Linked DNA regions of Arabidopsis thaliana. The protein of the gene in region 1 interacts with the protein of each later gene in a pairwise test. Each region holds a gene or a part of one and is shown on either strand. Other genes may lie near its edges. The genes, in order: RABA4C and GSL05.

What was found.
Region 2: the proteins of RABA4C (region 1) and GSL05 interact in a two-hybrid assay, tested with the Arabidopsis thaliana proteins (one study listed by BioGRID).

Annotation. Positions count from the first base shown.
Region 1 is NC_003076.8:19,420,831-19,424,661, reverse strand, and holds RABA4C (RAB GTPase homolog A4C), read left to right. Parts: upstream 1-2,128; 5' UTR 2,129-2,188; coding exon 2,189-2,415; exon of another isoform or gene 2,416-2,459; intron 2,460-2,684; coding exon 2,685-3,129; 3' UTR 3,130-3,322; downstream 3,323-3,831. Other genes in the region: AT5G47970 (Aldolase-type TIM barrel family protein), read right to left, coding at 22-103, 226-343, 475-647, 742-869, 978-1,104, 1,205-1,242. UniProt on the Arabidopsis thaliana protein: Intracellular vesicle trafficking and protein transport.
Region 2 is NC_003075.7:1,571,479-1,579,514, forward strand, and holds the start of GSL05 (glucan synthase-like 5), read left to right. Parts: upstream 1-1,787; 5' UTR 1,788-2,034; coding exon 2,035-3,905; intron 3,906-4,065; coding exon 4,066-6,088; intron 6,089-6,268; coding exon 6,269-7,717; 3' UTR 7,718-7,729; intron 7,730-7,813; 3' UTR 7,814-7,874; intron 7,875-7,964; 3' UTR 7,965-8,036. Other genes in the region: AT4G03540 (Uncharacterized protein family (UPF0497)), read left to right, coding at 1-5. UniProt on the Arabidopsis thaliana protein: Involved in sporophytic and gametophytic development. Required for normal leaf development.

The DNA.
Region 1 (3,831 bases):
GATCAGTTTTAGAAAGCTCACCTCAACCACAGAGTTTATGCCTCCATTTATTGTGAACTTTAAGTCCGGGAAATCACGCAAAAGGGCAAAGAAAAACTCGTATCTGCATTTGAGAAGCAGAAGTGCAGATGAAAACGTGAGACATGTATGGAAACAAGCAGTATTAAAGCAATATATCTTCCAAGTAGAAGACCATAAGAGTAATGGAAGCCTTTCTGCACACACTTTAAGGGCGGAATTCGACGGTTATCTGACGGGCTAAGTCCAGACAGTAATGCCTTCCGCGAATGTATGATGAAATGCTTAGTAGGAGATAATGAAGAAACTATATGAATGAAATCACCTGAAAAGAAAAAAAAAAGAATGGAAAAGGTATGTAATAATGAACTCCGCAAAAGGTGTTACTTGCCGTTGTTTAATAAAAACACGAGGCATGTGATATAACTCGAAAGATAGGTGGAAGGACAAACTTACAAAGCTCATTATATGAATCATGATCATCAACACCTATTCGACATTTGACAGTGACAGCTGCATTGGTATTGGCTGCAATGACAGACATAGCCTCACCAACAAACTTCGGGTCAAGCATAAGAAGAGCACCAAAACAACCTCGTCCACTTACTTTTGGGCTAGGACATCCACAGCTACAAAACAAACCGGCGTGTCAATATACGAAAGCTTACTGGGATGGAAATGGTACCAATTTTGTTATGATAACTCAACGGAAAGGAAACCTACTTAAAATTAATTTCATCATAGGCGTAAGCATTAGCAAGTCTGGTTGCTTTAGCCAAATTTTCCAAGTTTCTTCCACCAATTTGAAGAACGATGGGATGTTGGTCTGGAGAGAATGCCAAAAAGCTGTCCTGAGCATTACAAGAGTAAACACATGCATCCATTCGTCATAAATTCAAAATGTATCTGCAGGGTTAAGCAAAAAAAGAAGAAAATGAAACCCTTATCCATTTAAGTACCAGGTTATCTTCTTGATAGACAATGGTTTCAGCAGCTAACATTTCAGTGTAGAGCCATGCGTGTTTTGTTATAAGACGCGCTAGAGTTCTGTAATGATTGTCTGTCCATCCCATCATCGGGGCTATACTGAATACGAATTTTAAAAAACGACAGGGAGCTTAAGATCATTCGCTGTCAATGAGCATAATTATCAAAAAATAGAAAAGCAGAACCCTTAAGCAAATACCTGAACAGAGGTGGACTATAAGCTTCTGAAACTGTCATGGCTTCGTATCACCTAATATTTCAGATCCAGATAACGAGCTACACAAAGAATGTAGTAAACATTAGCTTCACGACACAATTGAATTTAAGTACTTTTGGTACCATAATGGTATGAAACAGTAGAAAAACAATTGCATATAATCCATCACTCAGTCTCAATCATATATGAACTTTAACATGCCACATAACTGAGTCTCAAGCTCGTTCTTATGGATTGATTCAAATCAAAGACCTTTTGTATCAAAACAAGATAACATTTCAACAGGTTTATCTTAACTCAAACTAATCATAAAGCGGAACTTGACTGCAGAAGATACAAAACATTGTTCAAACAAGTTAAATGTCAAACTTAAAAAACATCAATTCCAGACCTAATCAAAGTTTTCGAATTTTATTTAATAAGACCAAAGAATAAGTAAAACGGATTAGGAAAAATCCTGTCACAGGAGAGAAATCACTGAACCGAATTAAGCATAATTTTAGCACAATGTTGTACCGGCTGGGTCTAAGCGACGATGTTGAAGAATATCTAAAGAAGAAGAGGAATAGCTTAGAAAGCATCGAAAGATAACTTACGGTGATAGAGAAGACGAATACAGGCAGCTATAGTGGAGGAGGAGGAGAACGGCGAGACGACCGGAGGTAGACGAGAGAGGGTGAAATTGGATTTTAAGTGTGTTTTTTTGTGGTCGCTGAGATTTGCAAAAAAAAAAAAAAGAATGACGTCAAAAAGGAATGAAAAGAAAAAGGAAACAAAAGGCGGGACCCACTTTCGTTGGTGTTCCCTCCTCGTTTCTTCCCTTCACGTCTCCCGATGCTTCACAAGTCGCAACCCACTTTCATCTTTTAGATCTCTCCTCTTCTTATTACATCAGAGATCTTATATTACAACTAAGTCATTTCTATCGCCTCTAAAATCTATAAGCTTGTGATTTTGGTGTGAACGATGTCAAAATTTCAGAGCAATTTCAATCAGAAGATAGATTATGTGTTCAAGGTAGTCTTGATCGGCGACTCTGCTGTTGGTAAATCTCAGCTTCTCGCTAGGTTTTCAAGAAACGAGTTCAGTATCGAATCTAAAGCAACGATCGGTGTCGAGTTTCAGACAAGAACACTTGAAATCGATCGTAAAACTATCAAAGCTCAGATATGGGACACTGCTGGTCAAGAACGGTAAATTTTCCTATCTATAATTTACCATCGTAGATCCTTGTTTTAGTTCTTAGAAGTTGAAAATTTTGGTTGCTTCGAATTTCGCTTGGCAGTCGCTAAGGACTTTGACCAAAACTTTGTCGTATATAGACCAAAATTTGTAGTGGCTTATTTATTCAGTGAACATAATAACATGTCGTAGTCGCCAACGATTGTCAAACGAATAGGTTCATAGTAAGAACTCTTCGTACCATGAGATCAATATTTCTGATTGTGGAGATTTTGTTTAGGTATCGAGCGGTGACGAGTGCATACTACAGAGGAGCAGTAGGGGCAATGTTAGTTTACGATATAACAAAACGACAGTCGTTTGATCATGTAGCGAGATGGTTAGAAGAATTGAGAGGACATGCTGACAAAAACATTGTGATTATGCTAATAGGAAACAAAACTGATCTCGGGACACTTCGAGCTGTACCAACCGAGGATGCTAAAGAATTTGCTCAAAGAGAAAATCTGTTTTTCATGGAGACATCAGCCTTGGATTCAAACAATGTTGAGCCTTCGTTCCTCACGGTTTTGACGGAAATATATCGAATTGTGAGTAAAAAGAATCTTGTTGCTAATGAGGAAGGAGAATCTGGAGGAGACTCTTCTCTTTTGCAAGGAACTAAGATTGTTGTTGCTGGAGAAGAGACTGAATCTAAAGGAAAAGGTTGTTGTGGAACATCATAGACTTTTTTTCATGATCTTTTCTCTTTTTTTTTTTGTTACTACCATTTCTTGTGATCATATTTCTCTTTCTCTTTGACTGCATAAATAATGTGTCTACTTTGTATGTAAGAACAGATGATAGAGTTGATGAGTTGAACACTGCATACTAAATTGAGTTTGTGTTTATTCATGATACACAGACAACTTATTTCCATTTATGACAATTGAAGTCAAAGAATGTCAGATTGTCAAAAAACTTGAAACAAATAATTAGTTATTACAAATATTTTGTTTAAATTATGTCAATTTAGTATTTAATCATGAGTCTATCATGATGTGCGTGGCTGGAGTATTAGATCATGAGAGAGTAAGTTGAATAAGGAATTGTTTGTTTAGATTCAAGTTAGTCAAATACTCAAGTTACAAACCACATGTAAGTAAACATAACTACATATCATTGTCAATATATACTATGTTGTGTATGTATTTATGATAGTAAAAAAGATTATGATTTTGAATATATATATATATATATAAAACAACAATTCCCATGTAGCACGTATGTTCACCTAGTTAAAATAAAACCTAGTTTACGCCTTTACGGTTTACCAAACTTATGACAAAAAGTTTAATAATGATAGTGAAAAATAAATAGTTTATCTACTAGATATTAACCCGCGGTATACTGCGGGTCTATATTTTTATTAAATAAAAAATAATTGA
Region 2 (8,036 bases), on another chromosome or scaffold:
CTTGAATCTACCTTTTTTTTTTTGAGTATCGATCTAATTTTATGTCTCTCATACATATATAGATAGTAGACACATAAACATAAATTTGCTCGATGTCGATTTGAGACGTAGTTCGTGTGTTGTGCTTGTATAATTTCCACTGAAAAGAACGTTTTCTAAAAGTTCATGACCATAACACGTAAAGAGGCGAATGAAGGTAATATTAATGTGGGACATAGTGTTTTGCGTGATCCAAATTATTTTAGTATCGCAAACCGGCCTGTCTTAAATGGACATTTGTAGTAACAAAACCGACCATCAGCAAATTAACGTTAACGTTGCTCTAATCGTGTGTATTTTTCTAATGCTTGGTGAAGCACATGCGACCATTTGTTGTGTCAGAACAAAAGGAAGATTCCACATTTAGAATTTAGATTATAATCCCACATGCCTATTATTTAAACATATGTATACTGTAATAAATTAGTCCCAGAAGAGCATTTCATCATACTGTATAATTAATCAAATTTAAAAAACATTTGTGTTGAAGAGAAGATGACTAGATTCACTTGATTTTTTTTAATACTGATTGGTCGTTTGACCAGTCAGGATCCAGACTGAAATATTCTCAAAAGGTATGAACTATTTTAATGAAATATTTGAGCTGAGAATTTGCTTATGGGACATTCTATCCTTCTAAAGAAATCATTAGAAAATGGAGAAAAAGTTACTAGAAAAAGAGAGGGAAATGGGGCGAGAGTATGAAGAAAGGGTCCCATGTGAATCTAATAATTGAAAAGCAAATATGAGATTTATTTTAGGGTTCTTGTTTTAGCGTCCAAAGCGGTCGCAGTTGCCGTTCAGCGACTTTTCTCTGTTTATGAAATAAAAACGCTCCACTTGTTCTTTTCTTCTTTCAACCCACTTTGTTATAACTATTAACAAATATTGCTTGGTCCAAATTTTATTATACTGAATTATTTTAGTTTTTTTGTATCATCATCCTCAATGTTAGTTTTGAAATCCTAGGTCAGTAAGTCAATAACGAAAATGACAAGTTTAATTTTGTAATTGGAACTTACATGTCACGGTCTTTGTTTACGATCATTGCCACGAATTGTTTAGATACGGGCTTTTTTTTTCTTTCCGTGTTGATGATTATCGTTTCTTCTTACATATCTTGATCAATCACTAACATTTACATAACCTACAATTTTGTAATATAATTGCAATACTCGAGATCTTCAAATGGTGATACTGTTAATAAAATTACGAACTTTTAATCATCATCAAAATCTATAGAAAAAGATACATAGGACCAAAACAAGCCTAAAACAAAGAGTTATAATTTACAAATAAATGCATGTATTTTGTTACTTTTGTTAAGGATTTTCATATCAATGCATGCATAATGCATTCTCTTTTTATTTTATTTATAATGCATTCTTTTATAATATTCGGATCCAAAATTATGAATTAATTCCAGATTGCCATAAATGTCTTTCTTTGTTTATGCTGACTTTTTTCTTTTCTTAACTTATATAGTAAGTAAACCAGAAAGGTGGAAGATACAAAGCAATTTCATTGCATTAATAAACTTCAAATGTATTATCCAATAATCAAAATTTATCTAGTAATTCACAAAAAAAAAAAAATCTGTCTATCATTCAAAATTTCACCAATTTGGATAAATATCTAGAAAATTTTAAAATACAATTCAATAACACTATTAACATATCAATCAATATATAACATTGCAAAAGTTTACTTGATCATTAGTATATTCATTTTAAGGTTAAAAGATCTTTAAGAAAAGGAAATTCAAATTATATTGTTGGAAAAAAATACAAATCAAAGACAGCAAAAAAAGTAACAAAAAAAAAAGGTAGAAGAAACTGAAACGCGGAAAGGAGGCAAAATCTTCTCGTCGTCGTTGTCGCCGTCTTCAGAGCTACAAACGAAAAAACTCGCTTCCGTTTCGATTTCTCCATTGTTATTGTTTCTTCAGTGAAGCTTTTTTCTTCGAGAAATTTCTAAGATCTACCACATGCTACTATGAGCCTCCGCCACCGCACCGTCCCGCCGCAAACCGGACGGCCGTTGGCGGCGGAAGCTGTCGGAATCGAAGAGGAGCCGTACAATATCATTCCCGTTAACAATCTCCTCGCCGACCATCCTTCACTCCGTTTTCCCGAGGTTCGTGCCGCCGCTGCTGCTCTTAAAACCGTTGGAGACCTTCGTCGTCCGCCGTATGTTCAATGGCGTTCTCACTACGATCTCCTCGACTGGCTCGCCTTGTTCTTCGGTTTCCAGAAAGATAACGTTCGTAACCAGCGTGAGCATATGGTGCTTCATCTCGCAAATGCTCAGATGCGTCTCTCTCCGCCGCCGGATAATATTGATTCTCTCGATTCCGCGGTTGTTCGTCGGTTTCGTCGGAAACTTCTCGCTAACTACTCTAGCTGGTGTTCGTATTTGGGGAAAAAATCAAATATCTGGATCTCAGATCGGAACCCTGATTCGAGACGAGAGCTTCTCTATGTTGGACTCTATCTTCTCATTTGGGGAGAGGCTGCGAATCTTCGGTTCATGCCTGAATGTATCTGTTACATCTTCCATAACATGGCCTCTGAGCTCAACAAAATCTTAGAGGATTGCCTCGATGAGAACACCGGCCAACCTTACTTGCCTTCTCTCTCAGGCGAAAACGCTTTCTTAACCGGCGTCGTTAAACCTATTTACGATACTATCCAAGCTGAGATTGATGAGAGCAAGAACGGTACAGTTGCGCATTGTAAGTGGAGGAACTACGACGATATCAATGAGTACTTCTGGACTGATCGGTGTTTCAGCAAATTGAAATGGCCGCTTGATTTGGGAAGCAATTTCTTTAAGAGTAGAGGCAAAAGTGTAGGGAAAACTGGTTTCGTGGAGCGCAGGACGTTCTTCTACCTTTACAGGAGTTTTGATCGACTTTGGGTGATGCTAGCTTTGTTCCTTCAAGCCGCCATTATAGTAGCTTGGGAGGAAAAGCCAGATACCTCGTCGGTAACAAGGCAGCTGTGGAATGCTCTGAAGGCAAGAGATGTTCAGGTGAGACTATTGACCGTGTTCTTGACATGGAGTGGTATGCGACTCTTGCAGGCTGTGCTGGACGCGGCTTCACAATATCCCCTCGTTTCCAGAGAGACCAAAAGGCATTTTTTCAGAATGCTGATGAAGGTTATAGCTGCCGCAGTTTGGATTGTAGCTTTCACTGTCCTCTACACTAACATCTGGAAGCAGAAGAGGCAAGACAGGCAGTGGTCCAATGCCGCGACGACTAAGATATACCAATTCCTTTACGCTGTGGGGGCCTTCTTGGTGCCCGAAATCCTGGCTTTGGCTTTGTTTATTATCCCATGGATGAGAAACTTCCTGGAAGAGACCAATTGGAAAATATTCTTTGCTCTAACTTGGTGGTTTCAAGGCAAAAGCTTTGTGGGTCGAGGTTTGAGAGAGGGTTTAGTGGACAACATCAAGTACTCGACTTTCTGGATCTTTGTCCTAGCTACAAAGTTTACATTTAGTTACTTCCTGCAGGTTAAGCCAATGATTAAACCCTCAAAGCTGCTATGGAACTTAAAGGATGTCGATTATGAGTGGCATCAGTTTTATGGAGACAGCAATAGGTTTTCTGTCGCATTGTTATGGTTGCCAGTTGTGTTGATATATCTGATGGATATCCAAATTTGGTACGCAATCTATTCTTCGATTGTTGGTGCTGTTGTTGGGCTGTTTGATCATCTGGGGGAGATCAGGGACATGGGACAGCTGAGGCTAAGGTTTCAATTCTTTGCTAGTGCTATTCAATTCAACCTAATGCCTGAGGAACAACTCCTGAATGCTAGAGGCTTTGGTAACAAGTTCAAGGACGGCATTCATAGGTAGTCCGTGGAAGCATGCTACTAATATTCCTAAATAATTTTCTGTACAACGCTTGACTTGACTGTACAAGCTGTGAAATTTTACTTTTGTTAACGCAGATGCTGCATATAATTAAATTTTTCAATATTGTAATAACTTGAGGTTGTGTACTGTATGCAGATTGAAGCTAAGGTATGGATTTGGGAGGCCGTTTAAGAAACTTGAGTCGAATCAGGTCGAGGCCAACAAGTTTGCGTTGATCTGGAACGAAATCATCTTAGCTTTCAGAGAAGAGGATATAGTTTCTGATCGTGAAGTAGAGCTACTGGAGCTGCCAAAGAATTCCTGGGATGTGACGGTTATTCGCTGGCCGTGTTTCTTGTTGTGCAATGAGCTTTTGCTTGCACTGAGCCAGGCCAGAGAGCTGATAGACGCACCTGATAAATGGCTGTGGCACAAAATATGCAAGAATGAATACAGGCGTTGTGCTGTAGTTGAGGCATATGACAGCATCAAACATCTATTGCTCTCAATCATCAAAGTTGACACTGAAGAACATTCGATAATTACGGTCTTCTTTCAGATAATTAATCAGTCCATTCAGTCAGAGCAGTTCACCAAGACCTTTAGAGTGGACCTGCTGCCAAAAATTTATGAAACACTGCAGAAATTGGTTGGGCTGGTAAATGATGAGGAAACAGATAGTGGGCGGGTGGTGAATGTTCTGCAGTCTCTTTATGAGATTGCAACTCGACAGTTCTTTATAGAGAAGAAGACAACTGAACAGCTATCTAATGAAGGTTTAACTCCTCGAGACCCAGCCTCAAAGTTGCTGTTTCAAAATGCTATTAGGCTTCCTGATGCAAGCAATGAAGACTTCTACCGGCAGGTTAGGCGTTTACACACGATTCTCACCTCTAGGGACTCTATGCACAGCGTCCCTGTGAATCTAGAGGCGAGACGGCGGATTGCTTTCTTCAGTAATTCGCTTTTCATGAACATGCCTCATGCCCCTCAGGTTGAGAAAATGATGGCGTTCAGTGTTCTGACTCCATATTACAGTGAGGAAGTTGTATACAGCAAAGAACAGCTCCGAAATGAGACTGAGGATGGGATTTCCACCCTATACTACCTGCAGACAATTTATGCTGATGAATGGAAAAATTTCAAGGAACGGATGCATAGGGAAGGAATCAAGACAGATAGTGAGTTGTGGACAACCAAGCTGAGAGACCTCAGGCTTTGGGCTTCCTACAGAGGTCAGACATTGGCACGTACAGTTCGTGGGATGATGTACTACTACCGGGCTCTTAAGATGCTCGCTTTTCTTGACTCTGCGTCTGAAATGGACATTCGGGAGGGTGCTCAGGAGCTTGGTTCAGTGAGGAATTTGCAGGGAGAACTGGGTGGTCAATCTGATGGGTTTGTCTCTGAAAACGACCGATCTTCCTTAAGCAGAGCAAGTAGTTCCGTGAGTACGCTGTATAAAGGCCATGAGTATGGGACTGCATTGATGAAATTCACATATGTTGTGGCGTGTCAGATCTACGGGTCTCAAAAAGCAAAGAAAGAGCCTCAGGCAGAGGAAATTCTGTATCTGATGAAGCAGAACGAAGCTCTCCGTATTGCATATGTGGATGAGGTGCCTGCGGGAAGAGGAGAGACTGATTATTACTCCGTTCTGGTGAAATACGATCACCAGTTGGAGAAGGAAGTGGAAATATTCCGTGTGAAGCTACCTGGTCCAGTGAAGCTGGGCGAGGGAAAGCCAGAGAACCAGAATCATGCAATGATCTTTACCCGTGGTGATGCTGTTCAGACCATTGATATGAACCAAGACAGTTATTTTGAGGAAGCTCTCAAGATGAGAAATTTGCTCCAGGAGTACAACCATTATCATGGTATCAGAAAACCAACTATTCTTGGTGTCAGGGAGCATATCTTCACGGGATCAGTCTCGTCACTGGCGTGGTTCATGTCTGCTCAGGAGACAAGTTTTGTCACTCTTGGTCAGCGTGTTCTTGCAAACCCACTGAAGGTCAGAATGCATTATGGCCACCCTGATGTATTTGACAGATTCTGGTTCTTGAGTCGAGGCGGCATCAGTAAGGCTTCCAGAGTTATAAATATCAGTGAGGACATCTTTGCCGGGTTTAACTGCACGTTAAGGGGGGGAAACGTCACCCACCACGAGTACATTCAGGTTGGGAAGGGTCCACAATTTGGATTATTTCTAACTAACTATACTGCTACAACGTTTTTTTAACGTTTTTAACGTTTATTAATTATGCAATCTACTTTTGTTATAATTATGTAATTTAACGTTTTTTAATCTTCTAAATTCAAAAAATTTGAGTAACCTTTGTCTTTATGCATTTTTCAGGTCGGGAAGGGACGGGATGTTGGATTGAATCAGATATCAATGTTTGAGGCTAAGGTAGCCAGTGGGAACGGAGAGCAGGTTCTCAGCCGAGATGTGTACCGGCTCGGGCACAGGCTTGATTTCTTCAGAATGTTATCATTTTTCTACACAACTGTAGGGTTTTTCTTCAACACAATGATGGTCATTCTTACTGTTTACGCTTTCCTCTGGGGACGGGTTTATCTGGCTCTCAGCGGGGTTGAGAAGTCCGCTCTAGCAGACAGTACGGACACCAACGCCGCGCTTGGGGTGATCCTGAACCAGCAGTTCATCATTCAGCTCGGTCTGTTCACTGCCCTGCCAATGATTGTTGAATGGTCTCTCGAGGAGGGTTTCCTTCTAGCGATATGGAATTTCATTCGAATGCAGATTCAGCTTTCAGCTGTCTTCTACACATTCTCAATGGGGACCAGAGCTCACTATTTCGGTCGAACTATTCTCCATGGTGGGGCCAAGTATAGAGCCACTGGACGTGGATTTGTTGTCGAGCACAAGGGATTCACTGAGAACTACCGACTGTATGCACGCAGTCACTTTGTGAAGGCCATCGAGCTTGGGCTGATCCTCATAGTCTACGCTTCGCACAGTCCGATTGCCAAAGACTCGTTGATTTACATAGCCATGACTATCACCAGCTGGTTTCTTGTGATTTCATGGATAATGGCCCCATTTGTGTTTAACCCATCAGGATTCGACTGGCTTAAGACAGTCTATGACTTTGAAGACTTCATGAACTGGATCTGGTACCAAGGCAGAATCTCAACGAAATCTGAACAAAGCTGGGAAAAATGGTGGTACGAGGAACAGGACCACCTGAGAAACACCGGGAAGGCAGGATTATTTGTGGAGATCATCTTGGTCCTCCGGTTTTTCTTCTTCCAGTATGGGATTGTATACCAGCTTAAAATTGCAAACGGATCCACCAGCCTTTTTGTCTACTTGTTCTCATGGATATACATCTTTGCTATATTTGTGCTCTTCCTAGTCATCCAATACGCCCGTGACAAGTACTCGGCAAAAGCTCACATACGGTACAGGCTTGTCCAATTCCTCCTGATCGTGCTTGCTATACTGGTGATTGTTGCTTTGCTCGAGTTCACGCATTTCAGCTTCATCGATATCTTCACAAGCCTTCTTGCATTCATCCCAACTGGCTGGGGAATTCTGCTGATCGCACAGACTCAAAGGAAGTGGCTGAAGAATTACACTATTTTCTGGAATGCTGTTGTCTCTGTTGCTCGCATGTATGACATATTGTTTGGGATACTCATAATGGTTCCAGTAGCGTTCTTGTCATGGATGCCTGGATTCCAGTCAATGCAAACGAGGATATTATTCAATGAAGCTTTTAGCAGAGGACTTCGCATCATGCAGATTGTCACTGGGAAGAAATCAAAAGGCGATGTCTAAGTTTAAAAAACGGTAAAGCTCCTTGTTCTCAACACCTTATGTTATGATCGTTTAAATCCTGGATTTCACACCAATGCGGGCTTTAAATTTGTGTAGGTCTTAAGAAGTAAATGGTAGTTCAAATCCTATTGGTATGTGGCGAAGGAATCAGTTGGAGGTTAGTTTTCCCGAAACAACCGAATTCGAAGTTTTGTTTCGTCTAAAGAAAAACTCAGATGCTGATGATTTATCTTTGTATTTTAAACAGGTTTTTGGAGAGTTTGGTTGGATGAGGAATCGGGAAGTTGGTTTGATTCGGTTAGATGGGTTTAGGGAGATA